4 linked regions of the Saccharomyces cerevisiae S288C genome follow. Each later gene encodes a partner of the first gene's protein in a complex. Each region holds a gene or a part of one and is shown in the gene's direction. Other genes may lie near its edges.

Region 1 (7,417 bases):
CTACAATAAAGCTATTGATATTGAATTATTAACGCCAATTGAGAGCCTGGAAAAGATTAGGAAGTTAAGGCAGTTTGAAAGTATGCTAGACTCCTCTTTTCTAAATGTGGATTCTCATAATAAGTTGAAGACTGTATTAGAAAATGTCCTTATATGGGGAAAGTTGAGTGATATTATTGAAGATCTAACGCACGAAGCAATGGTAATTTCAAATGGAAAGCTACTCCAAGAAATTTATGACTTGTCAAGCGAGGAAAAATATCGCGTTACTGTCATTGAATCTATTAAATCTTACATCAATAAAAATGCCATAAATATTCCTTTTAATGAAGGTAACCGCAAAAAAGGGCAGAATGCGATTACTTGGTCTTCGGAAATTGTAGAGCTATATCGCAGTCAACACTCGTTTTTGGAAAGTATTGATTTTGGTTCTGTTCGTCTTAATAATTTGACCGGGGATGTATCTAATGCAATACTTGGCGATGTTTTCTCAATGTATTTCTCTAAAGAAGGAGCATTACCATCTGAGTATCTTTCTACCTACGTGGACCATTGTATGAAACGAACCAAGGAAAAAGATGCTGAAATAGTGAAGATCAAGCAAGATTTGCTTGATAGTACCAAATTAATCGGACTCCTAACTGAGAAGGATATATTTGAAAAGATTTACAAAAAACAACTCTCCAGAAGATTACTGCAGCAGAGGTCTTTAGTGGAAATTGAAAAATGGATGGTGCAAATGATAAAGAAGGTTCTAGGAACTTTTTTTACCTCAAAATTGGAGATAATGCTGCGAGATATATCTTTATCCTCTGAAATGTATCAAGCATTCCAACACTCAACAATCAACAGCATAGAATATTTGAGTTTTGCACCACAAGTTTTGACGAGAACGAGCTGGCCCTTTCAGAGTACTAATCCAATTGATGAAGGTATTTCACTACCTCCTAGAATGTCACAAATTTTAGCTGGCTTTGAGGGCTATTACAGCTTAAAATACAAAGAAAGAGTGCTAAAGTGGGCTCATCATCTAAGTGTAATTGAAATTGGCTGCCAATTTAATAGCGGTTACTACGAAATAAGTTTTTCTGTTTACGCTGGAGTGATTTTCCTTCTATTTGAAGATTATGAAGAATTAACGTTGGGGGAAATATATGAACTAACTCATATTCCCATAGATGACGTTAAGTCTCTTGTAATGTCAATGTCGACAATACCCAGATGTAAGATTTTGAAAAAATCATCCAGTTCAGGAAATATGAAATTTTCAGTTAATTATTTCTTTTCTTCTCCAAACAGGAAAGTGAAAGTGCCGGTTATTGCATGCCCTCTACCATCTCAGAAATCAGATAATTTGGCAACCGCAAGTTCCGTGGACACTTATGATAATGAAATTGTTATGGAGCTTAGTGCTATTATTGTTCGTATCATGAAAACAGAAGGTAAGCTAAGCCATCAGCAATTACTTGAAAGAACTACGAAACGGACACAGTCTCGGCTCAGTCTTACACCGAGCATTTTGAAACGAAGCATTCAGCTTTTAATAGAGAAAGAATACATCCAGAGAAACGCAGATGACCCCTCTTATTACCATTACCTTTCCTAATTGCTTATAATGAAAATCACAGGTATAAGGTTTGCAGAATGCCAACAGTATATATAGATGGCAGTTCCTATCCGGCTGCCAGAGCGAACAATATTAAGAGGATATGCGTCGATACTAATTGAATGTTCATCCTGCATTCCTTAGTGAAACTTTCAAAATATATAATAACATAGTTATGGTAGACTATATATCCCAGTCAAACTTGAATGTAATGTGGAGTGGGTAATCGATATCTCTTGAAGTTTATTATGCCTCATTATATTTTTATAAAAAACTTCTAGGAATTTGTTGAGTCAAATAATTTCTTTCTTAATCATTAAGTAAGTTAAAGTTACGAGCCTTTCAGACCTGCGTAGCACTGCTTCAAAGGAACTATTATCAATAGCAGCGCCTTGCTCTTTTTTTTTTTTCAGATGCTTAGCGGCCGTATTTCACTTTTCCTGGTAGAAAAATATATGTTGAAATTTACGGTATAAGAGAAGCTCACCAAAATTATTATCAATAAAGCGGCACTTTTAAATTTGGTATTCTTCCCTGGTTGTCAAGCCTTGGTTTCCCTTTATTTGATAGTATGAGCGAAATAAATAATGAAAATCTAGAGCCAACCTCAAGTACAGTAGCTGAGTCTACAGAAAGCAAGAATAAACACATTCGTAGCGCTTTAAGAAAACGAAGAGGTAAATTAAGCGCCCAAACTTATGAGGAAGATCAAGAGGCTATTTTATCATCTCCTTTATTGACTTCAACACCTAAAACAGTCTCCAGGTCATTAGTGAGGTTATACCCATATTTAATTGTTGTGGATAACTTTCTAAGTATCATCACTTGGTCCAATGACAATGTCTCTGCAAACTTGCTTGGAATATTCTTATTTACGGTTTGTGTTCTATATTTTGGATTTATTACAAGGTATTTTGGACATTTAATGATCGTTGGTATAATATGGGTATATCTTTTAATTGACAAGCACGTTCAAGAAACAATGGCATCTTGCCCTTCATTGGATGATATAATACACGTTATGGATAGGGTTTCTATGAAATCTAGCGCTGTGTTATCTCCTATTACGATTTTGAGCGCTCAGGATGTTAGAAGACTGTTATTTACCATTGCCTTCCTATCCCCAGTTTATATTTTTCTAACAGTGTTTGTGCTATCTCCAAACTATTTAATGTTAATAGGGGGTCTGTATGTGCTTACGTACCATTCTAAACTAATCCGAAGAATGAGAAGATACTTGTGGAAATTTCGCGTTGTTAGATTACTTGTATTTTTCATAACAGGATTAGACCTTGGTGGACCAGATAATAATAGGCGCTTGTTTGCTTCTGTCAATAAGAAAATAAGGTCCTTTGTTTGGAATGAGGTAGGGAACACATCTAACACTAAAAAGACTGTACTTTTCAAGGTTGCTCTGTTTGAAAACCAGCGCCGCTGGCTTGGCATCGGATGGACATCAACTATGTTGAGTTATGAGCGCGCATCTTGGACAGATGAATTCCTAAATACTTCTCCAAGCCCAGAAGTGTTTACTTTACCAGAGGAGCAGTCGGGAATGGCTTGGGAATGGCACGATAAAGATTGGATGCTTGACCTAACAAATGATGGGATCATTCAACTTCCTGCTTCTGCTGCTAAGACAAAAGTTAAGCCAGGTGCAGATGAAGGTTTCATATATTATGATAACACCTGGAATAATCCCTCTGCAACGGACACATATAAAAAGTACACAAGAAGAAGGAGGTGGATCAGGACTGCAACAGTAACAACAACGTATGACGATGAGCCCACTGTAGAAAAAGCTACACCGAATTCTCATGCTCTGAAGAGTGAAGAAAATAATAGAGTTAGAAAAAGAAAAGTGTCATTTAGTACAGCAAATGAAGTGCATATCATACCTTCCTCGGACAGTAGCAAATTAATACAAATATCTGATGTTTCAATGTCTCCTTCTCTATAATGAGTGCATGCCCCATATGGACAACAACGTTCACACTGGTCGGTGCAAGGGCACACAGCAATCTCAGAGTTTCTTTCATTGGCTGCATGGAGCACAAATTCAATCTTGTGCTTTAAAGTATCTGCGCGGTTATGGCAAGTTCTCCATCAGTCTCTTATTCCAGCAAGCATTCTTTTACGGAACTTCAATGCATCTAAATACATATGTACAGATAGCCAAAACTAATAGAGACATAATAAATTAAACAAAACTGTAAATTTTAAAAAGAGTATATATAGGGCTCAAGAAACTGCGTAAATATAAAATTAATGAAGAAAATCTGATTGTCAACTAAACGACATCTTCCATTTCTATTTCATCTTCCAAGTCAGCCTCCGCGTCTCCTTGCGCATTGTCTCCAGCGGAACCTGTTTGCTCATCAGCTAGTTCACCTAAGGTTGCCTTTCTCTCCTCCTCTTTCAACTTTTTATACTCTGGCCTTAAAGTGTATTTGAATGCATATGGGCCCTTCTTCACTAGAGTGGCAACTTTATCCAAACACTCCTTTAAATGTGCTTCAGGTTGCCTAGTACGTTCCTTCAACCCCTTCAAGGACCAGTAGTCATACTCATCAAATAACTTGAACAAGTAATCCAAGATTTCCTTCTTTGGCATACGAATAGATTTAATATTGCTCTTGGCCTTCTCACGCCCCACTTTCAAGAAATTCGAGTTGTCTGACCTCATGGACATACCTGTGTGGCTCATCGTAACACCAACGGTTTCATCCAAAGTTGTGATCCTTTCCTTATTATTAAGCTTGACAATATTTCTTCTCTGTTCAACAATCTTGTGATAATTAGGATCATTCATTGATGGCATAACCTGACATTCGTGGCAAACTGTACCCACAATGGCGGTTTTTTTGGGAATCGTCTTCACATATGGTATATATCTATCTCTACCATCCCTATCTGTCATAACTCTGTGATTAAACTTTTTTCTATTATTTCTACGTTTTTGCTGCTGCTGCTTCTTCTTAAGTTCCTCTTCACGTTCTTGCTTCTTCAGGTAAGCTTGCCTTTGCTTTTCAGGATCTGCTTCCAACTCCTTTTTACGTTGTTGATATTTCTTTAAATTTTGTTCTGTGAAAACATATTCATTTTCTACTACTTTCTTTGTAAGTTCTAAATCATATTCGTGCGGTATAGAATCGTTATCATTTTCATTCAATAGAAGTGTGATTTTACTCCCATCCTTGTTTATCCTAATTTTACCCAGTTCTTGGCCATGCAAGTTGTTTCTGTCCCTCCATTTCTCTGCTAGAAACATGGGCAATCTAACTAACCAGACTTGTCTATTACTACGTTCCAAGTCCAAATCTAAGGATTCTTCATAAACTTTGGTTTCATTATTCTCAATATCATTACCGTCAAAAACTTCCTCCTCTTGCGAAAGATACTCATCACCGGAAATGTTACCTGATTTCTCCTTCGCGACAGAGTTCGTGGAATTATTAGAAAGTGCTGGTGCCCCTGCTGAACCACTGCTCATGGTGTTAAGTTGGTCTTCTATTTTACTCTTAATATTGCGTTATGCGTTGAAGCCAACAGCATATGTCTTATTCTTCTAATTTCAAGCCTGATAATTTATTCATTTCGCGCAAGGGAAGATGAAAAAGTTAAGAAGAGAATCGACCTTTGGAAAGGGCCCCAATGGAAAGAACTTCAATGTTTTTTCCTCTACAAGTAATAAGAGCATAAAATGGACCTAGATCTAGCCAGTATCTTAAAAGGTGAAATTTCTAAGAAGAAGAAAGAGCTGGCCAACTCTAAAGGTGTTCAGCCACCATGCACTGAGAAATTCCAGCCACATGAATCCGCAAACATAGACGAAACACCGCGACAGGTAGAACAAGAAAGTACAGATGAAGAAAACCTGTCAGACAATCAGAGTGACGATATTAGGACCACCATTAGCAAATTAGAAAATCGGCCAGAAAGGATACAAGAAGCGATAGCTCAAGACAAAACCATCTCTGTAATCATTGATCCATCACAAATTGGTTCTACTGAAGGAAAACCTCTTTTGTCAATGAAATGTAATTTATATATTCACGAAATATTATCTCGTTGGAAGGCGTCTTTGGAAGCTTATCATCCGGAGCTGTTCTTAGACACTAAAAAAGCACTCTTTCCACTCCTACTGCAACTACGAAGGAACCAGCTTGCCCCGGATTTACTTATTTCCCTTGCGACCGTTCTCTATCATTTACAACAACCTAAAGAAATAAATTTAGCCGTTCAGTCCTATATGAAACTCAGTATCGGCAATGTGGCCTGGCCTATTGGTGTTACTAGCGTAGGCATTCATGCTCGTAGTGCACATTCGAAAATTCAAGGAGGCCGGAATGCTGCTAACATAATGATTGATGAAAGAACGCGATTATGGATTACCAGTATTAAAAGATTAATAACTTTTGAAGAATGGTATACCAGCAACCACGATAGCTTAGCCTAATTGTTGAACTATTGTTTTCGTTATCGCGTGGCACGATATCATGCGGCCAAAATAAGAAGCAAGAATGCAGATGTTGATAGCCTTTGTTCAATTTTCCAGAGACAAATGCTTTACAGGATCGGGACTTGAAATATACTGACTGGATGACGGTAAACTTAGATCCGGATAAAGTTTGGATAGACGGCTGCTTTGATTTCACACATCATGGGCATGCGGGAGCCATTTTGCAGGCTCGTCGAACAGTTTCAAAAGAAAATGGTAAACTATTCTGTGGTGTGCATACCGATGAAGATATTCAGCATAACAAAGGAACACCAGTAATGAACTCTTCAGAAAGATATGAGCATACTAGATCAAATAGGTGGTGTTCGGAAGTGGTTGAAGCGGCGCCATATGTTACAGATCCCAATTGGATGGATAAATATCAGTGCCAATATGTTGTTCATGGTGATGATATCACCATAGATGCTAATGGAGAAGACTGCTATAAGTTGGTGAAAGAGATGGGGCGCTTCAAGGTAGTTAAAAGAACATATGGCGTAAGTACTACCGAGATTATACATAGAATATTGACGAAAAAATCTTTGCCACCGACTCATCCTGATTATTATCCCACCACCCAGGAATTGAGTTTCTATTCTGTCGCCCAAGATGCCGTTTCAAAACATTGTTATGTCTTTCAGAGGGATTTGGACAATGTCTTGGTCAATGGTGGATACAAATTCGATGCAGAAGATTGTGTTTATGTTGACGGGGATTTTGACTTATTCCATATGGGGGATATTGATCAGTTAAGAAAGCTGAAAATGGATCTTCACCCCGATAAGAAATTGATTGTTGGTATTACCACAAGCGATTACTCGAGTACCATTATGACGATGAAGGAACGCGTCTTGAGCGTTTTAAGTTGTAAATATGTTGATGCCGTTATTATCGATGCTGACGCCACCTCAATGTCTCAGTATAACTGCGAGAAGTATCATATTGGCACGGCTGTCCTCACTGCTGCCGGAAAATTCAGTGAATACTTGACTAAAGAGCTTATTGTGAAGAGGGTGGAATCGCAAAGGGAGGTTTACATTGCGAGGAACCAAAAAAAGGGAATGTCCATATAAACAAATGTTGAAAACTTCTTCGAACGTAAATTAAATGGATGTAAGAAAACTGTATTACATAAGTCATGAAGTAGGCATGCAAGTATATACCTATAGATGCATATAAATCAGTGGAGAAGGCCACTATCCTTCAGAGATCAAAAAACCTTTTTTTATCTTGAAAACGCCCTCATTCCTTTTGGACGTTTTCAAACTTTTGTTCATGCGATTGCAAATTTGAGCCTCTTCTATCTTTCT
Region 2 (7,739 bases), on another chromosome or scaffold:
ACTTTGATGACGATATGAATTGTATAGAAGATGATGAGAGTGGTAATGAGGGAAACGAAATATGCGGTTTATCGACTCGATTCGAAGAAACATCCTTGAAAAGCAATAAAGTCAAAAAGTTCAATGATCTTTTTAACTTGAGCGATGATGATGAGGAGGAGGATGGTAAAGATAACAGTAACAATGGAGATGAAAATGAGAGTGATAATCTTTATCAAAAACGATTAGAAAACGGGAAAGAAACTTTTAATGGTAACCATGGCGGACACCATGATGATGCATCTCTTGGAGAAACGGTTGACAACAAAGAGCAGTTTCTAATAAACGATAATGTCAAGAAGCCTATTCAAAAATACAATGACCTTTTCGATTTGTCTGATGAGGACGATAACGACGACAAAGAGATGTCAGAAGCTGAGTCTTATATGTTTTCCGATGAAGCTCCTAGTATAGAAAGTGGACCAGCAAATGCAAAATCAACACGGGGGATCTATAGTCAATCTAACAAAAATATCATACGTGATGGAAAGCCGAACTATAGTTTCTCTCTCAAAAGGAATAATTCGGATGATGAAACGGAGCACACTTCTGCAATAAAGGCTTCCCTTACAGGTACTACTGGCTCTACCAAGCCTACAGTAAAGTCGTTTTCAGATATATTTAATGTTGATGATAGTGCAAGTGACGCTGAAAGTGATTCTGGGACAGGAGGGAACAATTCTAACGGCTTAGTATCCAATGATTCAGAAAGGCAGGTCTCCCTGCAAAGTTCTTTGTATGAAACCAAATCAGAATCCCATCCTCCCAATCATCCTCATTCGCAGATTCTTCAAACACCGGCTAAGATTGTAATAACTCCAAGCGTTTCTGATGCGCAATCACAAGCCCTTGCAATCACCGATGATGATGGTGAAGATGATGATGATGACACTAGTAGCATACTAAGAACTCCGTTTCAACTTATTGATTCCTCTCATTCACAGCAGCCGCACTATGCGAGCCCACAGTATACGGCTGTACTCAATAGCCCCCCTCTTCCGCCGCCAGCTAGGTCTCAATCACTAAAATATCATGACTTAAATTGCGATTTAGATTCAGAAGTCCCCAGACCAATGAGTAATCTCTTTTTCATTGATGAAGCTGAGGAAGACGAATACAATCAGAAAAGTAAGTTTTTTGATTTCGACCACTACGACATCGATGAAATTAATGGCATTCCAGAGGATTTTAACTTCTCTGATTCTGAAAGAGATGATCTTAATCGTCGTACACTGAAATCTCCTTTACGGGGCGGCTCCAAGAATAGAGAAGTCTCTCCTTTTTCATCTGTGTCATCGTCTTTCAGAAGTACGCATAGTTTTAATGGGAAATTAACGATCAACCAAGGGGCTAAAGAATTAGCTCCGATGAAAAATAAGATTGAACTTACAAACAAGACTGTCACCTTCTTTAACAGTAATAATTGGAATACTTATGACTGCAATTCACTCTCCCGAAAAACTTCATCCCAAATGAGAGATAGTAAATATCAAAATCATAATGTTGGTCAAAACGTAGAACCTTCAAGTGTTCTTTCGCCACAACATCAAATATCGAATGGTTTAGATGGAAAATGCAATGATAACTACGTAATCTCACCAAATTTACCGACAACTATCACACCAACTAATTCATTTACTAAACCCACACCGGAGTTCTCAAATGACTACTCATTAAGCCCTATTCAGGAGACACCATCTTCTGTTCAAAGCTCGCCAAAGAGAGCGTGAGAAAATACTGCATGTTTTTTATGCCCGTAGCCTCCACATTTCTTCCCTAGTAGGTGACTAGCTTTAAAACCTTTGCGTAATGTTCGTATTTGTAATCAATTGCATGTGCCAAGGATGATCTTTGGTAGATATAAAAGTACATATTATTAATTTGTTTTACAGAATTGGCATGTCTGAATATAGTTTTTTTAAGAAAGTACAAAAACTAGAAGTTTTTCTTACATGTAAGAGATATGAAATTTTGTAATGTCCGATGAAAAAATAAAATAGGCAATAAGCAAATTGCCATTCCGATAAATCTTCATGCGATGAGCTGGTCAAATCTGTTTACCAGAACAATTTGTAGGGTTGTTTTTTTTTTTTTTATTTTAGTTTGCGATGAGATGGAATGTCGTTATGAATACTGGACTGATACTTGTTCGGGATCAAAGAATTCCCTTTTTCATCATACAGTGGAAAAGGCAACGGCGGAAGTACTCTTGATTTTTTTGGCTTTGTTTGTTGTCCTTTTTCTGAGAATTTATGCTTCTCATTTACCAGTTGATAAATAATTCTTTTTGCATCATCTGCAGTTTTATCACACATGCCCAAAATTTCGTTGCAATGGCTTAGACGTTTCTTCTGTTGCTCATTTTTAGCTTTTTGAGCATGGCAGACTCTTGTTCGTGATATATCGTTATTTTTGAGGCCTACATCTTCATCCTCATCTAAAAGAATAACCTCAACCATTTTACCATCTCTTTTTTCGTAAATGGTATTAAAATCCAAATCGTGTCTATTTGAAGGAGTATTCTTATTCCTGGGGAACGAATAGTTGTTCTTCTGGGATGGAGGACCATGACCTAAATTTTTAATTGATCGTTTTTCTTCTATAAAGTTATGTTCTAAAGTTGACCTGTTAATGGTCACAGAAGGTTGAGATGTTGTATCCGTAATGGCAGTATTGGAAGAAAACTCAGAATTGTAGGAAGATTTACTACTACCCGATTGTGACGATTGGCTATTGGAAGATAAAACACTAAATGGAATTGAATGCGGATTCACACAGTTTCTTTGTTTACCAATTAAGTCTGTAGGAGTTTGGTTCAAAGGAGTTGGTTCCTTGTTTTGAATTTCTTGACCAAATGAATTGAATGAAGATAGCGGTTTGAATGGCTCTATCGATGGAACACTTTTTGTTTCACTAATTATTGCAATAGAATGGTCAGCAACTTCAGTAGAAAAAGCTTCGTTTTCATCCTCTGGGCATTCAATAAGTGATGGTGATGGTTCTCTTGTATGAGAGATACTTTCATCTGGTATAATTTGAATCGAAGGTACCGAGATTTCTTGGAGGAAGGACCCATTTTTAGGTGATTGAGCTTCAGGAGGAATATCAGATGTTTTTGGAGATGACGTGAACCGTAAGGGTGATCTCTTAGGTATTTCAATGGAAGTACATGGGTTAGAATGTTCAACAGGAATTGAGGGAGCAGAGGTCGGAGCTGGTGGTGTGGAGGTTGCCTCGAAATTTAAGGAAATGTCATCAATATTATGAACGCTCCTGCTTCTCCTATGTTTATGTATCCTCGGATTATTATTCGTCGGAGATTTTTGCAAGTCTATTAACATCTGTCTTCTGGATTCAAATGATTGATTCACAGGCGAAGTATCAACTTTCAGGAAATCTTCATTGTTCGTGTCTCCAGAGTTTCTATTTTCATGTACCTTATCCACATTATTGTTAGTAGTACTGGAGGGAAATTTGAATGACATATCGAGTTTGTCCAGTGATTCAGGGTTAACTTGGCGAGTTGGAGAAGTTGGCTCCTCGCTAGGTTCAAACTGCTGGAAAAATTTTAATGTCCCATTTAAACCTGTGCTTGGTGGGGATTTCATGTGCTCTAAGTCGGGGATGTCTATCAGTTTATTTGGTGTTGACAGAATTTTTAACGAAACATTTTTTTCAGTGTTTTTTTCCTCACATTCCCTATCTGTTTTACTCTTAATATGTTGTGGGTTTTTGAGATTTCTCCTTTGTATCTTCAGATTGACGTTGGCGTTCTCATCAATTCCAAGAAGCTTATCAGCATCTGCATTATTTAACTCGAAAGACACATCATGGTGGGCATATGGAATAGAATCATCTTCATCTGAATACGACGATGAGGGCTGTTCTAGAGAAGATTCAGTTGACGATGAGGTGTTACCTTCTTGAAACTGGCTATAGCCATCCCCATCGTAAACCAAGCTACTCCTCTTTTTATCCTTGTTTTGCGGAGATAAGTAGGGCGGCAGAGATATTTCTAATGGAACTGGTAAATGATATCTGTTCAATGGCGATTCAGGAGTGAGATATAAATTCTTTTCGGGAGTTAAGGGAGGAGGCCTGTCAAATGATAAATTCAGCGGAGATACTTGGCTAATATTACTAGTATTCTCATTAATACTGGTCTCAACCTCGGTTGCACGATATGTGTTCATTGTATCCACAATGATCGACTGTAATGATTTTGATCTAGAATGGTTTGGTTCTTTTCCACTACTACTTGTGTTGGACCTAACATCAGAACGAGTTTTACGGTGCCTGCTTTCACATTTTTTTCTCCTGTTATGATGAAACTTCCAAACTTCTTTAGGGACATCGACCAGTATTTTAGAGTGCATGTCGACTAAATGACCATGGCTATTCATAAGTAATGATGAAGTAGACATTCTTCTTTCGGTTTCATTTCCACTCTTGGGGAATACAATTTTCAGTGGGGAGTCCTGTGATATTTCATTTGGATCTGGAATGGAAAATCGAACCTGCGATTGTGTATGCTCATGGGGTTTCTTGTTCTTGCTCGATCTCTGTCGCGGTATAGCAACACTCTCTATATTATTAGTTCTATTAATGGCTAGTAAGTTTTCGCGTGGGCACAACACATCACGGCATTGATCATGGTCCATCTCATGTTGTATCGATAATGTACTGCACACTTTGCTCTTGACAGGTGTAACAGGGAGGCTCATAATCGGAAAAAAAGCTTCAGATCTATCCCAGCGCAATCTAATTGCACTAATTAGGTAGTAGTCTTGCTGTAAGTATGTTGTATTGTTGTTCCTAGGCGTCAATTCTACTGTTGTTATGTTTGGGCTCGTTTGTTGTTTGTTTACCATTTTCCAATGCGGAATATCACAGGCCGCTGCGGTGTGCGGGTGCTAAATTAGAGAAAGAGGGAAACTCAAAACTTTTCAAGAAAGAAACGAATAACAATTTGACCTTTATTACAAGGCACTTTGTTTAGGCCAGCAAAGGGATTCTGACGGCGTCTGGGGATTTCAACAATGAGCAGCGAGGACTACGGGTATGATTACGACCTACTATTTAAAATTGTACTGATCGGTGATTCCGGGGTAGGGAAATCCAATCTATTGTCAAGATTTACGAAGAACGAATTCAATATGGATTCAAAGTCTACAATTGGGGTTGAGTTTGCCACCAGAACTTTGGAAATTGATGGCAAGAGGATCAAGGCGCAGATTTGGGATACTGCGGGCCAGGAACGTTACAGAGCCATTACTTCTGCTTATTATAGAGGAGCTGTAGGTGCCTTGATCGTTTACGATATCAGTAAATCAAGCTCATATGAAAATTGTAATCATTGGTTATCAGAATTAAGAGAAAATGCAGATGACAACGTCGCAGTGGGGCTTATCGGTAACAAGTCTGATTTGGCCCATTTACGTGCTGTACCTACGGAGGAGTCCAAGACTTTTGCACAGGAAAATCAGTTATTATTCACAGAAACAAGTGCTTTGAACAGTGAAAACGTGGATAAGGCTTTTGAAGAGTTAATCAATACCATCTATCAAAAGGTCAGCAAGCATCAAATGGACCTTGGTGACTCCAGTGCCAACGGGAATGCCAATGGTGCGTCCGCTCCTAATGGACCAACGATTAGTCTGACACCAACACCAAACGAAAACAAAAAGGCAAATGGAAATAACTGTTGTTAAGAGATATTTTGCAGCAGTTGCGCACTTGCATGTGAATGACTCTTCTCCCCTTTAATTCTGTGCTATATTTTTACAATTTTCTGCTGACATATAGTTTATATACATATAGAACGCATATAGGAAATTGAAGTAAACAGAATACACAAGTAGAGGCCGGTATGTACGACATTTTGCTTACTACTCTTTAAAATCATCGTCTTCTTCGTCTTCATCGTCTTCTTCTTTTTCACCATATCCTACATCATCTTTAGAGCCTGTGCTAGGTTCCTTCTTGTCTAATTCTTCTGCAGTCTTTTTATAGTCAATTACTTTGCCGCGTGTTCTTCTTCCGGATGTGATGATATTAGAGGTATCAATTTCTGCCAAATCGTCCTCTTCTTCTTCTCCCTCATTTCCCATCAATGCGTCTAACTTGGCATCGTCCATATCAGATTCAGAATCTTCAACAGTACCATTATTTTCGCTCTTCGTCAAACCATTTTTAGCCTTAGTCTCCTCTTTTGCTACTTCAGCGTCATAATCGTCATAGTTTCTTCTTCTTCTTCTCTTTGGCTTAGGTTCCACAGACTTTTCGGATTTATTATGACTTGATTCCTTTTGGCTTTCTAATTCACGCTTTTCCTTTGCTTCGTCAGACATTATTTCTCTCTTTCCTTCCATGTATTGAATTTTACTTACCAGGTGTGTTCCCCAATTAACCACCCACCGAGCTTCCTTATTTCTCCATGTTCTTGTTTTTCTCACGATAATGTGGGAAAAAATTCAAAATAAAAATTATGAAAATAAAAAATGAAATTTAAAGAAGCCTATGCTAGTTAGAAATGAACAAGACAGGGAAAAAAGTAGAAGGGGTAACAGAACCATCCGTATAACAGGTTTCCAGTAAAGTAAATAACTAATGAGCAAAATACAGGTGGCACATAGCAGCCGACTAGCCAACCTTATTGATTATAAGCTGAGGGTTCTCACTCAAGATGGCCGCGTTTACATCGGGCAATTGATGGCATTTGATAAACATATGAATTTAGTGTTGAATGAGTGTATAGAAGAGAGGGTACCCAAAACTCAACTAGATAAATTAAGACCGAGAAAAGATTCAAAAGATGGAACCACTTTGAACATCAAGGTAGAAAAAAGAGTGTTGGGACTGACTATACTAAGAGGAGAACAGATCTTATCCACAGTGGTGGAGGATAAGCCGCTACTATCCAAGAAGGAAAGACTAGTGAGAGATAAAAAGGAAAAGAAACAAGCGCAAAAGCAGACGAAACTAAGAAAAGAGAAAGAGAAAAAGCCGGGAAAGATCGCTAAACCTAACACGGCCAATGCGAAGCATACTAGTAGCAATTCTAGGGAGATTGCCCAACCATCGTCGAGCAGATACAATGGTGGCAACGATAATATCGGCGCAAATAGGTCGAGGTTTAATAATGAAGCGCCCCCTCAAACAAGGAAGTTTCAGCCCCCACCAGGTTTTAAAAGAAAATAAGGTTGATGTAGTGTAGTCTAATATAGTTTCCGTATACTTTTTTTGTGTACGCATGTGTGTTAATAGGGAAATTCATAATTAACTTAAGGAAGCATTTTTTTACTATTTTTTCATTACCTAAACATAATTTTAATTTTAATCCCTGTGTGGGATTTTAGGGTGTACGAGATATGTAAGTTATGAGCATATTTTTCCTTAGTTGACGAATAACCTTTAAGTCCTAGGAGGTTCAATATGCAATTGCATGCTATTATGCAACTCAATTGCTCAAGGGGCTATTCAGGTTTACATAATACGGATGAAAAAGATAAAGATCTCGGAAAAACTGAAAGGCACTCTTCGGAAAAACCTCTTTTATGGGGGGTGTTCTGGGGCAGAAACCAAAACGGCGGAACGCGTCCGGAAAAACATACATAGACCACACCGTAGAAATTACTTCCTTGGAGACCCCACCAAAAAATCCTTCACTAATTTTTCCGTGTATAAATGATTTAGCTCCC
Region 3 (7,506 bases), on another chromosome or scaffold:
CAAGAAAAGGCTAAAAGGCTCATGAACTTAACTGTTACAATGTTAAATTAGCTAAAAGGCAGCCATCGCCATGTCGGAGGAAAAAAACCGTAACAATAAATTAGGTTTGGACTTTTGCAGTATTTAATGAGAGTTGGTGGCCAAGAATAATGGATGATAGCGCATCAAAAAAAGGAAGCTGATATGAACGACTTCACATAGAACTTTGACTCTTCTACAACGTGAATGCCTTTGATAAGAATGAAATTCCAAAACAAGTAGTGTTGGGAGGTAAATTTCCTCCACTGCTAATTCCAACTACGTGTGCATTTTTCAATAGTAATATTCCGTCACAAGAGGCTTATTTTCATTTTCTCTACCCTCATCTTTTTTTCACTTTTTTCCTTACAATGAATACATGTGATATAGATACTTAATTGTCTGTTTTGCGAGCTTGCTTCTTCATATCTATGTAATATGGGCCAGGTCAACCCAACATCTACCAATTATCTATATGATGAAAAATATGATTGGTAGTTACCGCCAATGCATAGATTTTAGACAACTTAATAAGGCCATGTTAAAGGGTGCATTCCCACTATCGCGCTTAGGATTGGATGAAGCATAACTTTTCTTCACTGTCAAATTGCATCGTAGTTATATCAGATCCAAATAAAAAATGAAAATAACAATAACAAGCCTTCTATTTTTTCTTGTCATGATCGTCGAGCTCGCAAGTGCGGGCACACTACTTCATAATGGTGCAAATTTGCCCTCATTACGTGATAACACCACTCTAACTGATGCTCGTAATGTGTTAAAGTACTTACAAGTGCTTGGTTTTCCAAGCAACAAAATAGCGGCTACAGATACTGTTGGAACTTTTATCATATTTAGCAATCGTACGGAAGCTAACACTACCGCTATGACGAAGACAGTGTCATACTGTTATCGTAACTACGGGCATAGTTTCTACTTCACTCATTACAAATACGACTATTTTCCTAGCGGGATTAGTTATATGGCAAAACTTGGCGATGCCACCGTCAACCATACGGACTTACCTCACTTTAGGAACAACAAACGGCTAACAACGCAAGAACTCAATGCCTTCCAACATCCAATTGTCGAGTTTCAGTAAGTACTCAGGTATTACGTTATGTACATGTATGATAATTCTGATTAACATCTTTTATACACAAAGATGTATGCATGAATGGTGCAAATATCTCGACGATGCGCAGTAAAGAAAGCAATTTACTACTAACGTCTAGCGATATCATAGATGATGACAGGATAACGATATAGGTTAGATGGATATTGGAGTAATTGTCAAGTCCCATTTTGATTGAAGACAACATTATTAGGCCTACAGAGTTGCTAAAATTCTCCACTAGGTCACAGGAGTTCGCAAAAGAGAATCAACAATCTACATAACCATGCACACATTTCTTCGTCCTCTACGTTATAATTTACTGCTCTAAAAGCGTCACTTCTCCTTTCATTTTATGTTTTATTGTTCATTATCCTACTGCGTTATCAATCCTTACATTTCGGCTTCCACTAAATTTAATGACTGCTTCTCATCATTTCATGTCTTCTAACGCCGTATATAATAATATCCCAGCAAAATATAACTGTTAGTTAGTGAATCATAACCGACTGTTACTCCTGCAATATCCATGGGAGAAATCACCATCGGAAGGTAAACTAACACGTAGGTATTGATTCTACCGGAAATGAACAAATGTCGTACTGCCCAAATGAGCCAAATGCCATCATATACGCCTTCATAACTATATTTGAAAAATACCTTTGCCTAAAAGACGAGTGGTATTGGAAACTTCAATTAGTGTTCAAAAATGTCCAGTGAGAGGATGAAGTTGTCGTGGTTGAAACAGCATAAACCACCTAAAATAGTATCAACTGACAACAACTGTGGAACACATGCGGTTACTTTTATAATTAACCGCAAAATACCTGAAATGAGCTAAGAAATAGTAATTATAAACATGCCACTACAAGTAACAGATTAAGTGATATGTTGGCGGACCTCAATATAAGCGACATGGAGAGATAGAGATAGAAGAATTTGTTATTGTGTTAATAAATAAAGTTAACATCCAGTTCTTTCAAGTTGGCTAAGCGCCGTGGCGCAGTGGAAGCGCGCAGGGCTCATAACCCTGATGTCCTCGGATCGAAACCGAGCGGCGCTAATTTTTCATTTCTTTTTGCCCGCAACAATAACACAGATCGCAATCATTTAAGCTATAGACTATAAGCTTTAACTTCTGCGTTATTATTAATAATTGTTATTGTTTTAGTTAGGTATTTCTATCAACTTATTTTATATATTCTATATTACAGTTTTCTTTTTTTACAAATTCACCCAGCAATTATTTATTATTAATTGTACATCTTCTTTAATAATGAATTTATTATTGCACAATATTCAACTTAGGAAAGATAGAGGAACTGAATTCTTTATCAGCAATGAAATAGGCCGTCTACGGCCGTCTACGGCCTATTCCATTGCTAAAAATTTGAATCGTATAAAGGGATATTACCCGGAAAAGAAACGCATTAAAAAAAAAAAAAAAAAAAAAACAGAAAAAGTGGTTAAGTGATTGACTGACCCTTGATAGTTTTGTACAATTATACACTCGTTCTGATTAAAAACTTGTTTATAAAAATCTTTTTAAAAGAAAGAGAAGATCGTGTTTATTGCTTTTCTCAAAAAGACTAATCAATTAGAATAACAAAAGAAACATATACATATAATGACTGAATTGTGTCCTGTCTACGCCCCTTTCTTTGGTGCCATTGGTTGTGCCTCTGCAATTATCTTCACCTCATTAGGTGCTGCTTACGGTACTGCTAAGTCTGGTGTTGGTATCTGTGCCACTTGTGTGTTGAGACCAGACCTATTATTCAAGAACATTGTTCCTGTTATTATGGCTGGTATCATTGCCATTTACGGTTTAGTTGTTTCCGTTTTGGTTTGTTATTCGTTGGGTCAAAAGCAAGCTTTGTACACCGGTTTCATCCAATTGGGTGCCGGTCTATCAGTCGGTTTGAGTGGTCTAGCTGCTGGTTTCGCTATTGGTATTGTCGGTGATGCAGGTGTTAGAGGTTCCTCTCAACAACCAAGATTATTCGTCGGTATGATTTTGATTTTGATTTTTGCTGAAGTTTTGGGTCTATACGGTTTGATTGTTGCTTTGTTGTTGAACTCCAGGGCTACTCAAGATGTTGTCTGTTAAGGCAGCTTCTGAATCACTAAAGCAGGAATAGAGTATACAAAAGAATCTTTTTGTGAGAAACTATGAAAACTATCAAAATTTTTCATCTTAGAGATTGTTTATAGCCCCTATTCTTACTTCATATCCAAACTACCTCATTTCAAGCTTCCTTTTTATTAGTACCATTATTATTGTTTAAAAGAGTATTACACGCTAAATATGTATATCTTAATTTTTAATGTGTATAAAATAGAAAATTTGAATATCAAGGAGCAACAAAGAGCATTATGCGTTTTAAGCTACACAATGGGTACGATGAGATCACTATACCTGTACTCTTAAAAGAGGCCCAACCTTATCAACTTCTATTGTTAAAGTAGACAATTGTATCGTTTCTTTTTCTTATCGGTTTTATCCGGGTAATAAATTCAGCATATAGAAAAATTTTTCATTTCTATTTTCTTTTTCTTTTCATTTTTCCTTTTTCTCAGAAAATTTTTTTTTCTAATGCTGGAATGAGATGAGTTAGAAAATTTTTCACTTTAAAACTGATTATTCTGGTTAATAGTGCTTATTCCTCTTAGTGTTCAAGTCCTACTTTCAAATCTTAATTTAAATCATCATTCGAGCGAGCTTTCTATACCAGGACCATACTGATTATTGCAAGGAACTTGAATAAACCAGATTTCATACTATAAAAACTATATTAAAAATGTCTGCCCCAAACCCAAAGGCTTTCCCATTAGCCGATGCTGCATTAACCCAACAAATCTTGGATGTCGTTCAACAGGCTGCTAACTTGAGACAATTGAAGAAAGGTGCCAACGAAGCTACCAAAACTTTGAACCGTGGTATCTCCGAATTCATCATTATGGCTGCTGACTGTGAACCTATTGAAATCCTATTGCATTTACCATTACTATGTGAAGACAAGAATGTTCCATATGTCTTTGTTCCATCTAGAGTTGCTTTAGGTAGAGCTTGTGGTGTTTCTAGACCAGTTATTGCTGCTTCTATTACCACCAACGATGCTTCTGCTATCAAGACCCAAATCTACGCTGTCAAGGACAAGATTGAAACTTTATTAATTTAAGTAGATTGGATTATATCTATCAACATAGTTTTTGTACCATCTATATACTATAAAAAAGTTTTTTGCTTTCCACTAGTGCAGACGCTAATAGTGCTGTTTTGTTAGTGGTATGATATATGTCATATCTTCATTGAATAACCTACTCGAGTGCATCTGTAAATGCACAAACATGTATTATCAATTGAGCTGTAGTAATTTAGGCATAACAAAAAGGTGCAAGATCTCATGGCACCTATTCGTTCGTAGGAGATTTATTGTCACCTTTTTAGTTTTACAGGATCGAAAAAATCTATGGTCTTGTATGGTGAATGATCTATATGTCTTCTCTTTGAATTTCTAGCTAGCTCATCAAAGCCGCTTTCATTTATTCCAGTCTCTTTACTCACGGAATATTGTTTAGTAACATTTCGCATGCTTTTCTCAGACCTTCGAAAAGCTCTTTTACATTCGAGCTTGATCTTTTTGTAATCATGCAACGTTCTCATCCACAGCTCACCAATGAATTCCGATATTATATAAATTTGGCCCTCAGTACCGCAAAGTAAAAATAGAGGTATGACGCCTTCCAACCTTTGACTATTGAAATTTGGACATATTTGAAGGTTTTGAAATCCATCTGGGATGGCCGCCAGTGAGATTATCTTATTAGGTAACCGAATTTTGAGGTATGGCATAGCCAACCCGCCCTTATCAACTGATAATTTAGAATCTTCGTATATTGTCAAGGTATTATCAATACCAATGGTGGCAACATAAGATCTATTGGAATATTTCAACGTTGCACAAGAAAGGTCTGATAATCGACCTAATAGATAGTTCTTATCACTCGCTAAACAATCGTTTTTAGGTTCTCTTAGCTTCTTAGGAATTATTTTAGTCGCCACTTGTGTAATGCTTCCCAACCGCTTAAAACCCAAGTAGGGACATTCAGGGTACTCTGATGGATATACTATGGACGTCCTAATTGGAAAGCGGGTTCTCAAAAAATCTCTCAAGATCTCAAATTGAACCAGATAATCACCACTCATATAAGCTGGAAGACCTATATGGTTAATCGATGAAAGTGCTGGGAAGGAATAGGCCTCTAAAATTTCCGCGCCCTCTTTTAGCATGTTTATTTTATATGCTGCTATGCCACTATCACCAGAAAATAAAACCAAGTTGCACTCATAGTATATGAACACCGAGAATATACAATCTTCGAGATAATTCGCGTACAATTGGGTAATGTTATTGTTTCTAATTTCAAACAGCCAGAATTTTGTACGTTTTTCACCAACTCCTAAGCATACAACAAACTTATTACCATAAAAGGGTCTCTGTGATAAGTAGATTGAGTTTTGTTCTGGCCACAGTGGCTTCACAACGGCATGTAAATACTTTTCATCCGAGAAACTGAATGTGGAAACTGCCTTCATTGAAGCATAATTGAATAGCATCAACTTATACTGCCTACTATTGCTATCGACCAAACACACCACGGCCTGATTGAGGTTATTTGGAACAGTATAGAGCTCTACGGGAATGCTAGGGAGGTAAAAGATATGATTTTCTAATTGAGGTTTTAATGAAGTCATCTGCTTAGTGAAACCTTCACGGTAAAACGTGCTACCAAACTCAAAGATGCTTATTCGAGAATCATAATCTAAAACACAAAGAGAGAACAGTGCTTTACCGGGTCGAATTCTCATTCGTCTTGGAACTAAGCCTAACTGTATGCAACCATAAGACATGTTTTGAAGATTTAACAAAATTATTTCCTTATCGTTGTAAAGGAAAACCAAAGGTAAGGAAGGAATCGTATCCAACAGTTCTAATTTCTGATCGTATAACGAATGAATCTCTAAATCCACTCTCAAAAAATTTGATTCTGATTTGTAGACTCTTACGCAGCCAGTGTATGATGATGCGATGACATAAATCGAGTCGTGTTTATGCTTTTTGCTTAGCCAAGATATTTTTATCAATTGATCATAGGCTATGAAAGAATAGTCTGGATGTGATGTAGCCACTTTCTTTTGATTGGCATTCCATACCGAAAACACACCGTCCAAGTAAATGACAAAAAGGTATTTCTCGGCACCATCTGAGAAACAGCTCACAATACTCTCTTTAGAATTGAGCCCATGGATAAAAAATTCTTCTTTTTTACGTAGAAAACCAGATTTTGCCTCAAGTATCGAAATCCTGAGCTTGGAGTTCTGTACGGGATAACAAAACATGGTGGAAGAGTTGTGGTTCGACTGCAAGAAATCGACCTGCCTAAATTCTCCGGTAGAACCATCCATACCGGCTTTCAAAACTTTTCCCGTCCTAGAAACAAATAGACCGTAATCATAAGGCTCATCCATTAAAAATATTCCGTTCTTATAAATCAACCCACCTGATTCATATGCAAATTCGTCACCACCATTAAGTGCTAAATCTGTAACCCAAAAATCAGTTACATTCTCTACTAGCGCTTTGGAGGAAGTCACTAACTTGAACAGGGTTTTGTCATATACCAAAATTTTCTTTTCTAAAAATCCTCTTCTTGAGTTAAAACTTCCACCCAAAAGCAGTGAATCAATATCTGTCCCCTTGTTTCCAATAACTTGTGATGCCAGGTAAACTTTGTTTGTATAAGCGGGACCGCTTTTCACCTTTTCTAATTTTGAACCTCGATGATCTTTCGATATAAAATTTACTCCATTTATTCTTGTCACCGCTATATACTTTTCACGTGGGAGCTGCAAAATAACATCGCATAGATCATGTTTAGGAGGCTTGAACACTCTTTCTTTTGTCCATTGTAGTTCTTTCAGGACGTGGTCTCTATGTAACGACCTAGTGTGTATCTTGGCAGTGTATTTGTTAGCATACACGTCAGAAATTGTCAAGAGAATGACTGATCTTTCATATATCACATCATAAGAATCTTTTAGAAATTGGTAGTTTTCTACATTTGGGAGACCTTTATTATTGAAAAAAGCCCCGTTTGTAAGCCCACTTGCTTTTATATTTATTATTTGAGTGTAGTTAGTAGTCAACACTACAATGGTATGGCCGCAAACTACCTTCATATAACAAAATTCATTATCACATATCGGCAAAAGATTGTATTGGCGGTACTCGTTTAAATCAAATTTCCTACTTCCATGCTTTCCAGCAAGATTGTATTCCTTTAAAAACAGGTTTTCACTATAGCAACTC
Region 4 (9,713 bases), on another chromosome or scaffold:
ATAGGTTGCGGTTGTGGTTGATAATACATCGGTTGTGGTTGATAGTATTGATGTCTCATTGTGATGTCGCACTTTTTTTTTTTGATGATATTTCTCAAAGTACAAGGACCTAGACAAAATCAATTGTTCATCTAACAAAAAGTGTTGTTTTACTGATACTTTTATATATTATTGCTGAACAAGCATTTTTCGAGGCTGAAAAGATGCTAACCTAAAAATAAGACATTTTTGGCTTTGCGGCACTATAACGGATCATGTCACTTACAGAAACGCCAAGAAATTTCCCGTAAATTATTCACCACAGCATCGAGGTGGCTTATTTCTTTCTTAACTGATGCAGCACGGCTCAGCCCCATATCTGCGAGATCTCCATTCTAAGAGTGTCCGATAATTCATGAAAAAATATATAAAAATAAGGTCTTACCCGGATTCGAACCGGGGTTGTCCGGATCAAAACCGAAAGTGATAACCACTACACTATAAAACCCTTTTATTGATGGTATTTCTGACAATTTTTTAAATTGAGTGGTTTGAAAAATAATTGATCAATAGGAATTACCATTGAGAAATAGATGAATTTTGGAATAATTGTTGGAAGTACATCGTTTTTCAAACGCTATAATATTGTGAATACAAAAGACACTAGAATTACTCCACGCGAAGAATTCACAAAGAGAGTTGCTATTTCGACATTATAGCATTATTATTCTCCTTTCATTGTAGAAGTTGTCATCCAGCTTCCATTACATCCGTTGACTTTTTTTCAATCTTTATGTCATTCTCTTACACCTTATATGATAATATACTAGTAATATGAAAACTCGTCAATATTAGTATTTGAATTTCATTAGAACACAAAAGTGTATATCACCTTGATATTCCACTCACGAGCTACAGGTAGTAGATTGTTTAATGACTTGCTCAACAAAATAGCGTGAATTATCACTAAGTAAACAACGGCTCTTCTCACACCCTGAAAAACAAGTACTCGAGAGTCTGTGTTACTTGCCTCGCAATTGTTACCTAAGATGGACAATTACCGATGGATGACTTCATCATCTGTCACAGCCATCGCTTTTTGCGCTGCCATATAATACATGTTAACCGTACGCAACTCGGTGAACATAACCGTGGGGTTACTTTTGTTTGAGTAGTTAGATGTAGTGTCTTTCTTGATGGTATAAGCTACTATAATATTAGGAACGGCCGATACCTGGCGACAAAAGTTCAAAATACCCAACGGGCAGCTGGGCTTATGGAACAACGCAAAAACAATTTTCGGTCATTATATCAAAGTTTATGGCTATGAAACAACAATATGTGTGGCTGCATGTTTAGCCAATGACGCCTTTTTTATAACCCTGCCAAATCCCAACTTCAAGGCAGCTTAATACCTCCAATACATCTTTTGGGAGGTTGATTCAAACATTCACAGCAGAGTAGCTTATACGCTTATCAACTCATCTTTCCTCTGATTAAAAAGAGACTCTGGCTTGCTTTGTAATATTATTTATTTTGGCTCAAAGTTTTTACTTAATTTCCTCCATTATTGCTCTATTCGGAAATTTTTAATAACTCTCAAATGCTTAAAGATCGCCCATGTTACTTGAGTTTTTAATTTAAATAGTTCACCTTACTTGAATGTTCTATTGGGTAAAATAGAATGATTTGAAGATGGCAAATACTAAAAATATCATAGCGCTTCATCTTGATTACCATTATTCCGGTGCTTTTATGATATTGCGTATCAACTTCATTTAAAGAAAAACCTCATTTCAGCTGAAAGTAAAAGTATTGAGTACTCTACTGGCAGTAGCTGGATAATTGAAAACTTACGAAGTGCCGCCACAACAGCTTTTTTTTTATTTTCGACAGTAAACCAAAAGAATAGAAACGCCTATAGTTAGTATATATGTGTTTGTATATTTCTTAATACTTATTAAACTCATCTAACCCACGTTGGTAGCCTTGATCCCATTCCCACATAAATTCGCTATCTTTTTTGGCAGAAACGTATTCAGCTCTTCTTTGCGACTTCCATGAATGCCATCTACCAATTAATGAATTGTCAAATTTCCTAAAGGCAATTATATCATCAACAGCTGTCTTTATGCCATCCTCAAACCTCCAGTGTTCAAAATTTTTACCTTTACCGTTCCAATAAGCCTCGTGTTCATGGATTATTGAATCTATTTTCTTCTTGTCGACTTGTAAGTCATCACCGTGAGGACGTTTTGGTAAATTTCCTTTCTGCATCATGGGAGCTAAGCCCCATTCACCTCCATCACCGTATTCAAACTGCAAAGTCCAAAAAAACCAACCCCAACTAGCTACATGAGAAAATACATCTGCTTGGGTTTGTACGTATTTTTGAACAATAGCGTCTCTGTCGCCAGAAGTTTTATTCCAAGTTTGTCCATCAAGAACACCAGAAAATTCACCAACAGTATAATCGGCATCTTCATGAGGAAAATTCACAGTATTTGGCAAATCCTTGATAATGGAATTGGCATCCTTCGACTTATCAGAATCAGAAAAACAGCGGTAGACATGAGAATCAATGACCACTATTTCACTAAAATGTTTTTCTTTAACCCAGTCTGCCCATTGTTGGGGCCACCAACCATCGGATATTATGACAGGTAAACCTGGTTGAAGTTTTTCAACGGTATTAATGGCTTCTGAATAATAGAATTTTTGGCCCTTTGGGTTATTATCAAAACATGCCTCATTAACCACTTGAATACCAATGATGTTTTCGTTGCCCAGAGTCATTGTGTTAATAATTGCAGGTAAAATATCTTTGTAGACTTTGGTCATGTACTTTTCCTTGTGGAAAAACGCAGCTTCACCACTCTTCGAGCCACTGTGTGAGTCGCAATTAGCGCCTCCTGGTAGACCATGCAAATCTATCAATACACCAATGCTCATTTTCTTGGCATTATTGATTAATTCGCCAAGTTTTTCCCAAGGTTTGGCTAACTCATAAACTTTTCTCAATGGGGCAAATGGAAGCGAATCTAAATGCTTCCCATCTTCGACATGCCAATATCCAATTGGAATACGTAACGCTGTAATATGGGCATCTTTAGATAGCCATTCCCAGTCAATTCGATCAATGTACTTTTTATAGTGATCGCTTAACATTTTCGCAACGTCTTCAGAAGAATGCTTCTTCAATTGTTGGGAAATAGCATCAAATTCGCTATCATATTCTTTCCCATCGATTGTACAAATGGTTTCTTTAGAAAAAATCCATGGTTCGAGCACAAATAACGCACCCAAGTTTACACCATAATTGTAACGGTACTTGTAGATAGTTGATCTATCAAGGTCCTTTGCAGGGGGTAGTTTCGGTAGTGTTGTAGATAAATTTTGACCTCCCTTTTCAGAAACTTTGAAATGCTCAAATTTGTTTCTAAGTGAGCCAATCATTCTGTGCAGTTCAAAAGTTTTAATAAATTTTATAGATGGATAGAGAGTCTTTTTTAAAGCAACTCTTCCCAACAGAGTTCGAATTGAAGAAAAGAAAGTTATGTCTTAGTTCATCCATCCCCCCTAATTCCCTTCTTTTAAGCATTTTTTAAGCCATGATGGCAGAGAAAATGTATATTAAAAAAATATTACTGAAGGATGCGAGGTTCGAACTCGCGCGGACAACCGTCCAACAGATCTTAAGTCTGCCGCCTTAGACCACTCGGCCAACCCTCCGTATAAATGAATAGTTATTTTCAATAACCACACTTATATTAATTGTATTAATTGCAGCACTCTTTCTTTAGTAGCTCCTCCGGAGACCTTTATGAAATGATGGCGTTTCTTCTTTTAATAAATAATGTAACGAAAGTATTTTTAAAAGTCTTCTTTACCGTTGATAGAACCTTGGGCTAATTTAACCAGTACATTTATAGTGTGTCAGATTGTTCTATTAAGCAAAAAAAAACGAAAAATTTCAGAAAATATACGGGTGAGTTGACATAAAGAGTTTAACAGCAAGAAAACGTCACATTTTATGGAGAGGCCATCTTTTTTGGATCAAGAACCACCTGCAGGTTACGTACCAGGTATTGGTCGTGGAGCCACTGGATTTTCAACAAAAGAAAAGCAAGTGGTTAGTAATGATGACAAAGGAAGAAGAATACCGAAAAGGTACCGTGAAAATTTGAACAACCATCTTCAAAGCCAACCGAAAGATGATGAAGATGATGAAGCTGCAAATGTATTCAAAACGCTTGAATTGAAATTAGCACAAAAGAAAAAGAAAAGAGCTAATGAAAAGGATGATGACAATTCAGTTGATTCTTCAAACGTGAAACGGCAATTTGCCGATTTGAAAGAATCATTAGCTGCTGTAACGGAGAGTGAGTGGATGGATATTCCGGATGCCACAGATTTTACAAGAAGAAACAAGAGAAATAGAATTCAAGAGCAATTAAACAGAAAAACTTATGCTGCACCGGATTCGCTAATACCTGGGAATGTTGATTTAAATAAATTAACGGAAGAACGAGAAAAATTATTGCAATCTCAAATAGATGAGAATCTTGCACAATTAACGAAGAATGCAAGTAACCCTATACAGGTTAATAAACCGAACGCTGCTACCGATGCCCTAAGTTACTTAAAGGACTTAGAAAACGATAGAGTAAATTCTCTCTCAGACGCAACGTTAGAAGATTTACAGAAAATGCGCACAATTTTAAAGTCATACAGAAAGGCCGATCCAACAAATCCACAGGGTTGGATAGCTTCTGCCAGATTAGAAGAAAAGGCAAGAAAATTTTCAGTAGCAAAAAAAATAATAGAAAATGGTTGCCAAGAGTGCCCTCGAAGCTCCGATATTTGGCTAGAAAACATTAGACTACACGAATCTGATGTTCACTACTGTAAAACATTAGTGGCAACGGCAATAAATTTTAATCCAACGTCTCCGCTTCTTTGGTTCAAAGCTATTGATTTGGAAAGCACAACGGTTAACAAATATAGAGTAGTGAGAAAAGCACTGCAAGAGATTCCTCGAGATGAGGGCCTATGGAAGCTAGCTGTCAGTTTTGAAGCTGACAAAGCGCAAGTTATAAAAATGTTAGAGAAAGCCACACAATTTATTCCACAAAGTATGGATCTCTTGACTGCATATACTAATTTGCAAAGCTATCATAATGCTAAAATGACTTTGAATTCCTTCAGAAAAATCCTTCCGCAAGAACCGGAAATTTGGATTATCTCTACACTCTTGGAAGAACGAAATAACCCAGATATACCTGTAGATAAACTAGTTAGTTTGCTCAAGGAGGGTTTATTGGAACTCTCTAAAAATGGGTACAAAGCGACCTTGTCAGCATGGTTGAAACGTGCAGAGGCTCTAAATGATGCGCCCAATTCAAATTTAACCTGTCAAGCCATCGTTTACGCTATATTAGAATGGTTAAGAGAAAGTGGCGAGTATGAGTCTGAGTTGAATAATGTTGATCAGATATTAGAAAAAATGCCACACTCAAAGGTACAAATTGCTGTCTTAAAAAAGCTTATTCAGTGGGATCCTTGTGATACAGTTCTTTGGTCTAGACTGAAAATGGCCACTGAAAGCTACCATAAAATTGAAGAGTTATTAGCATTTTTCCAGGAGCTGCTATTTCAGACCAAGAATAGTGATGATATACGAGCAAATATGAGGGAGAAAAGCCCTGGCTTGTTAATGATGTATGTAAGCGAATATTGGAAGGCCCAAAAAGGGGATACTAGGCAAACACTAGTTTTGATTGACCAGATTATAGATTTCGCCCCGCATAATTTGGATTTACGCTTTTTCAAGATAAAGTTATTAGGTCGTTCACTACAACTTGATGAATTACGAGATTTTTTTCAGCAAACTTTCTCCTCTTTAGAGGATTTTAAGATCAGTGGCACGGAAAGATTATATTATAAATACGTAAACTTTCTGCGGTACCAAGATCTGAATGAAGAGGCTATAAAATTCTTGAATGAGAGATGTTTGAAATCATTTCCCATCTGCCACAAATTTTTTTTACAGCTGGGTCAAATTTATCATTCCATGGGCAATATTGAAATGAGTAGAGAAACCTATTTGTCTGGTACAAGGTTAGTGCCCAATTGCCCTTTATTATGGGTTTCCCTATCAAAGATTGACGAGATTGATCTAAAAAATCCAGTAAGGGCAAGATCAATTTTAGATAGAGGATTGTTAAAAAATCCTGACGATGTATTATTTTACATTGCTAAAATCCAAATGGAAATAAGACTTGGTAACTTAGATCAGGCGGAGTTACTCGTCACACAGGCATTGCAAAAGTTTCCAAGCAATGCTTTACTTTGGGTGGAGCAAATCAAGCTGTTTAAGCATGGAAACAAAAGTTCGTTAAAAAAAACAATTTTTCAAGATGCTTTAAGAAGGACACAAAACGATCATCGCGTTCTTTTGGAGATTGGAGTATCCTTTTATGCAGAAGCGCAATATGAAACATCATTAAAATGGTTAGAAAGAGCTCTGAAAAAGTGCTCGCGTTACGGAGATACATGGGTTTGGCTATTTAGGACATATGCAAGGTTAGGCAAGGATACTGTTGATCTCTACAATATGTTCGATCAATGTGAGCCTACTTACGGACCCGAATGGATAGCCGCCTCCAAGAACGTAAAAATGCAATACTGCACACCTAGAGAGATTTTATTGCGCTTGATGAATGACAAATAAAGTAATTCTATCTTGCGTTGTTTTCTACTTAGCCTGCGCGTATATTTATATGTATGTATGTATGTATACACATAATTGATAGAAGCGATGCTCAAAAAAAAAGTTAAAGAAAAGAATTAGATTTAATTAAGATTATAAGTAGTGCTTCATAGGTATTAAGACAACAAATGGTCTTTCTTACAAACGTAAAAATTTGAAGCAAAATGATGTATGTGTTTAAGGAATTTATTCGTATTTTTTTAATGAAAAAAAAATTTAAAAACAGTGCATATTTATTTGTGGCCTTTGGTCGCTACAATCCAATCCCATCTTCTTTCATGTATTAACACTTCATCGTTGCGCGTTATAATGCAGAAGATAAAAAAAGGATCGAAGTGTTTCTTTTCCAGCGAAGTTTCGGTCTCAAATAATAATACGTCAGGAAAAAGAAGGAAAAAAACATTGCTACATCAGCAGATCAAAGCATTTACTCAGAGTCGGTGGCTACATCCTCCTCCTCTTCTTGGGCTTTCTTGGCCTTCTTGGCCTTCTTAGCCTTCTTAGCCTTCTTCTTGTCCTTCTTGTGCTTCTTCTTTAGCTTTAACTTCTCCTTGATACTAGAGTCAGAATCAGATGACTTGAAAGAAGCTGGAGATGGCATCTTCTTTTCAGCAACTGGACCAACATGTTCAGCGGGTTCTTCGTCGAAGATTAAACCTAATCTTTCAATCCCCAAATAGTTAGCCAATGGCATGAAAAGAACTGGCAAGATAGATAGGATCAACAAATCAATAATACCATAGAAAATGGTAGCAGAATCTGGTTGCAAAACGTTACCACCATCTGTGATACCAAAACAGGTTGGGTAAGCAATCAGCCACAAAAACATGATGACACTCATGAAAGTAATGAAAACGTTAGAGACATCCTTACCTCTGGCCTTGACCAGGTTGAATGTAGTTGTCATCAAACTAATACAAACAACAATGGCAGCACCAATACCAATGGTGTAGTAACCCCATTTGTAAGTAGAGTGGACACAGGCAGCAATCAACCAGCAGACAGTAAATATTTCAGTCATACCAACATTGAAAGCAATTTGCCATAATGGAGTACCACCAAGTAGAGACATTTGAATAATTGGCCATGGGAAAGCCAAAAACCAGCCAACGTATCTAGCGTAAAAAATTTGTCTGTAACCTGGGTGCTCCTTTTGGGTAGAAGTTTGTACATGGTTGTACTTTGCTCTGACTGGGATCCAACCCAAGTTAGAAGCCATGGTGAAATAAGCAATTGACATGAACAAATTTGGAGCAATGGCCGTATAATATACGAATCTGTCCTTAACTGGTTTTCTAAACATTAGTGGGACTAAAATCACACCGAATAGTAGGTTAACACAAAAAACGGTGAAAAGCCAGTCTGAACCACGAGATGTAATGTGGAAATCAGCACCGGTTGGTGGATTAATTTTGATGGCTTCGTTACCACCTCTTTTCAATAGTTCAACATAATCAGACATTTTGATGCTTTTTTTAAAAAATAGTGTCACTTTAAGTTATCAGGAAAATTAGAAGATTTTTAAAATTAAATATTAATAATTAAAGAATTAGTGGTTAAACGTTATTAGATTGTTTGGAATTAAAAGAAAAAAATTCTAGATTGATTAAAAATAACCAGAATAAGCTATTAGTTTTGAGTAAAAAAGGGTTTTTAGAAAAAAAATTATGGTAAGTTCTTAGGACTTCTTGTCTATGTTAAAGTATCCAAAGATAAATAGATAGTTTTTTTCGGGTTGGAATATTACTGTTATTTGCTGACACAATCTTGACACTTGATTATATAATCGTAAATGAGAAAAGGTTAATAACAAATATCGAAGAAAACAAGAGAAGAAAAGGGCGGAAAACCATAACTAACACACTGTCTTACATGTAAACCGAATAAGTTCGGTTCTTTATATATCTTTTCGGTAAGCTTCCAGTAATTGAAAGGATCATGAATAAGCAACAACCCGATGAGGAATCATCCCGATCTAACATTGAAATTTTCTAGGGGTTTTACTAACTAATCTGATTGGAAAGCACAATTATCCAGTGAACTACTAAGATGACGAAATTATTCGTTTACACAGAAATAGTGAAAGGCATTTTTGCTTTTACAAGAGGCTATTTTTTTTTTTCTTCATGCTTCTTAAAGGGATTCATGCATTGGACCGGAGAAAAGTCCGCAGAACGACCACTCGAGGGTAAGAAAAAAACAGCTCAGATTTCCTATTTGAGGCAAATTATGCGGAAATTGAAGAATCGAAAATCACGGAAGTGGTACCAAAATCGGTAGGTTGTTTTCAATTTACCCTTTTTTTCCATTCCCTCATTTAGAACCCATAGCGAGGTCGAAATATCCCTTAGCCATTGGTGTGATGTCTATAGTTATTTCCCTCAGTCAACCCAAAGCAAGATTTACATTGTGTTAACGTATGCCGTGATATGAACAAACACACCGGCCTACATAGCTAAGTTAATCAAAGAAGGTGTAGATAAACTAGGTTACATAACTGCCTATTGGCAAGCTTTCTTGCTATCTTAACAGCAAAGCTCTTAAGTCGTGATCTTCTCTTCTGATTCTCTTCCGATGGCATATAGATTTGAAGACGACAAGGAAAGCTAAGCAACTTCCTAGTTTTCGTCTAAAAAAACCGAAGGTTTTTCCGGTGATTTTCGGAAACATGCAGAAGAGTCCTTAGAAATCTTAGGTAAATTCACTCGGCATGTCTGCTAAAGATCGGTCTAGGCCATGCGCGTAAAACGGGAAAGGGTTCGCTCAATGGCAGATGCTGCCATACGAGGACACAACCAAGATGAGGCCTCCCAAAGCGGTACTCGCGTTAAGAAAGAAGGGCTTTGGAGGCAACCGGGTAGGGTGTCTTCTTTGTAAAGTTTGTCTAATGTTGGAGAATGGTTGCCACCCGGGGAAGAAAACTGCTCAGGGCGGATAACAGGAAAATAACATGTTGCGTGCA

What was found.
Region 2: PRP18 (region 1) and SMB1 share a complex: the UniProt entries of both Saccharomyces cerevisiae proteins name them as parts of the U4/U6-U5 tri-snRNP complex.
Region 3: PRP18 (region 1) and SNU13 share a complex: the UniProt entries of both Saccharomyces cerevisiae proteins name them as parts of the U4/U6-U5 tri-snRNP complex.
Region 4: PRP18 (region 1) and PRP6 share a complex: the UniProt entries of both Saccharomyces cerevisiae proteins name them as parts of the U4/U6-U5 tri-snRNP complex.

Annotation. Positions count from the first base shown.
Region 1 is NC_001139.9:500,761-508,177, forward strand, and holds PRP18 (mRNA splicing protein PRP18), read left to right. Parts: upstream 1-5,309; coding exon 5,310-6,065; downstream 6,066-7,417. Other genes in the region: cullin CUL3, read left to right, coding at 1-1,606; PEX31 (peroxisome biogenesis protein), read left to right, coding at 2,178-3,566; transcription factor IIF subunit TFG2, read right to left, coding at 3,897-5,099; ECT1 (ethanolamine-phosphate cytidylyltransferase), read left to right, coding at 6,209-7,180; STF2 (ATPase-stabilizing factor family protein), read right to left, coding at 7,350-7,417. UniProt on the Saccharomyces cerevisiae protein: Component of the U4/U5/U6 snRNP, binding principally to the u5 snRNP. It is not absolutely required for the second step of pre-mRNA splicing at low temperatures but is required at higher temperatures.
Region 2 is NC_001137.3:212,087-219,825, reverse strand, and holds SMB1 (mRNA splicing protein SMB1), read left to right. Parts: upstream 1-6,648; coding exon 6,649-7,239; downstream 7,240-7,739. Other genes in the region: ZRG8 (Zrg8p), read left to right, coding at 1-1,769; FIR1 (Fir1p), read right to left, coding at 2,133-4,763; Rab family GTPase YPT31, read left to right, coding at 5,079-5,750; CHZ1 (Chz1p), read right to left, coding at 5,928-6,389. UniProt on the Saccharomyces cerevisiae protein: Plays a role in pre-mRNA splicing as a core component of the spliceosomal U1, U2, U4 and U5 small nuclear ribonucleoproteins (snRNPs), the building blocks of the spliceosome.
Region 3 is NC_001137.3:98,010-105,515, forward strand, and holds SNU13 (RNA binding protein SNU13), read left to right. Parts: upstream 1-3,933; coding exon 3,934-4,314; downstream 4,315-7,506. Other genes in the region: YEL028W (uncharacterized protein), read left to right, coding at 659-1,120; VMA3 (H(+)-transporting V0 sector ATPase subunit c), read left to right, coding at 2,760-3,242; YEL025C (uncharacterized protein), read right to left, coding at 4,572-7,506. UniProt on the Saccharomyces cerevisiae protein: Common component of the spliceosome and rRNA processing machinery. In association with the spliceosomal U4/U6.U5 tri-snRNP particle, required for splicing of pre-mRNA.
Region 4 is NC_001134.8:341,601-351,313, reverse strand, and holds PRP6 (U4/U6-U5 snRNP complex subunit PRP6), read left to right. Parts: upstream 1-4,012; coding exon 4,013-6,712; downstream 6,713-9,713. Other genes in the region: MNC1 (Mnc1p), read right to left, coding at 1-59; MRX18 (17-beta-hydroxysteroid dehydrogenase-like protein), read right to left, coding at 1,930-3,435; YRO2 (Yro2p), read right to left, coding at 7,179-8,213. UniProt on the Saccharomyces cerevisiae protein: Participates in pre-mRNA splicing. Part of the U4/U5/U6 tri-snRNP complex, one of the building blocks of the spliceosome.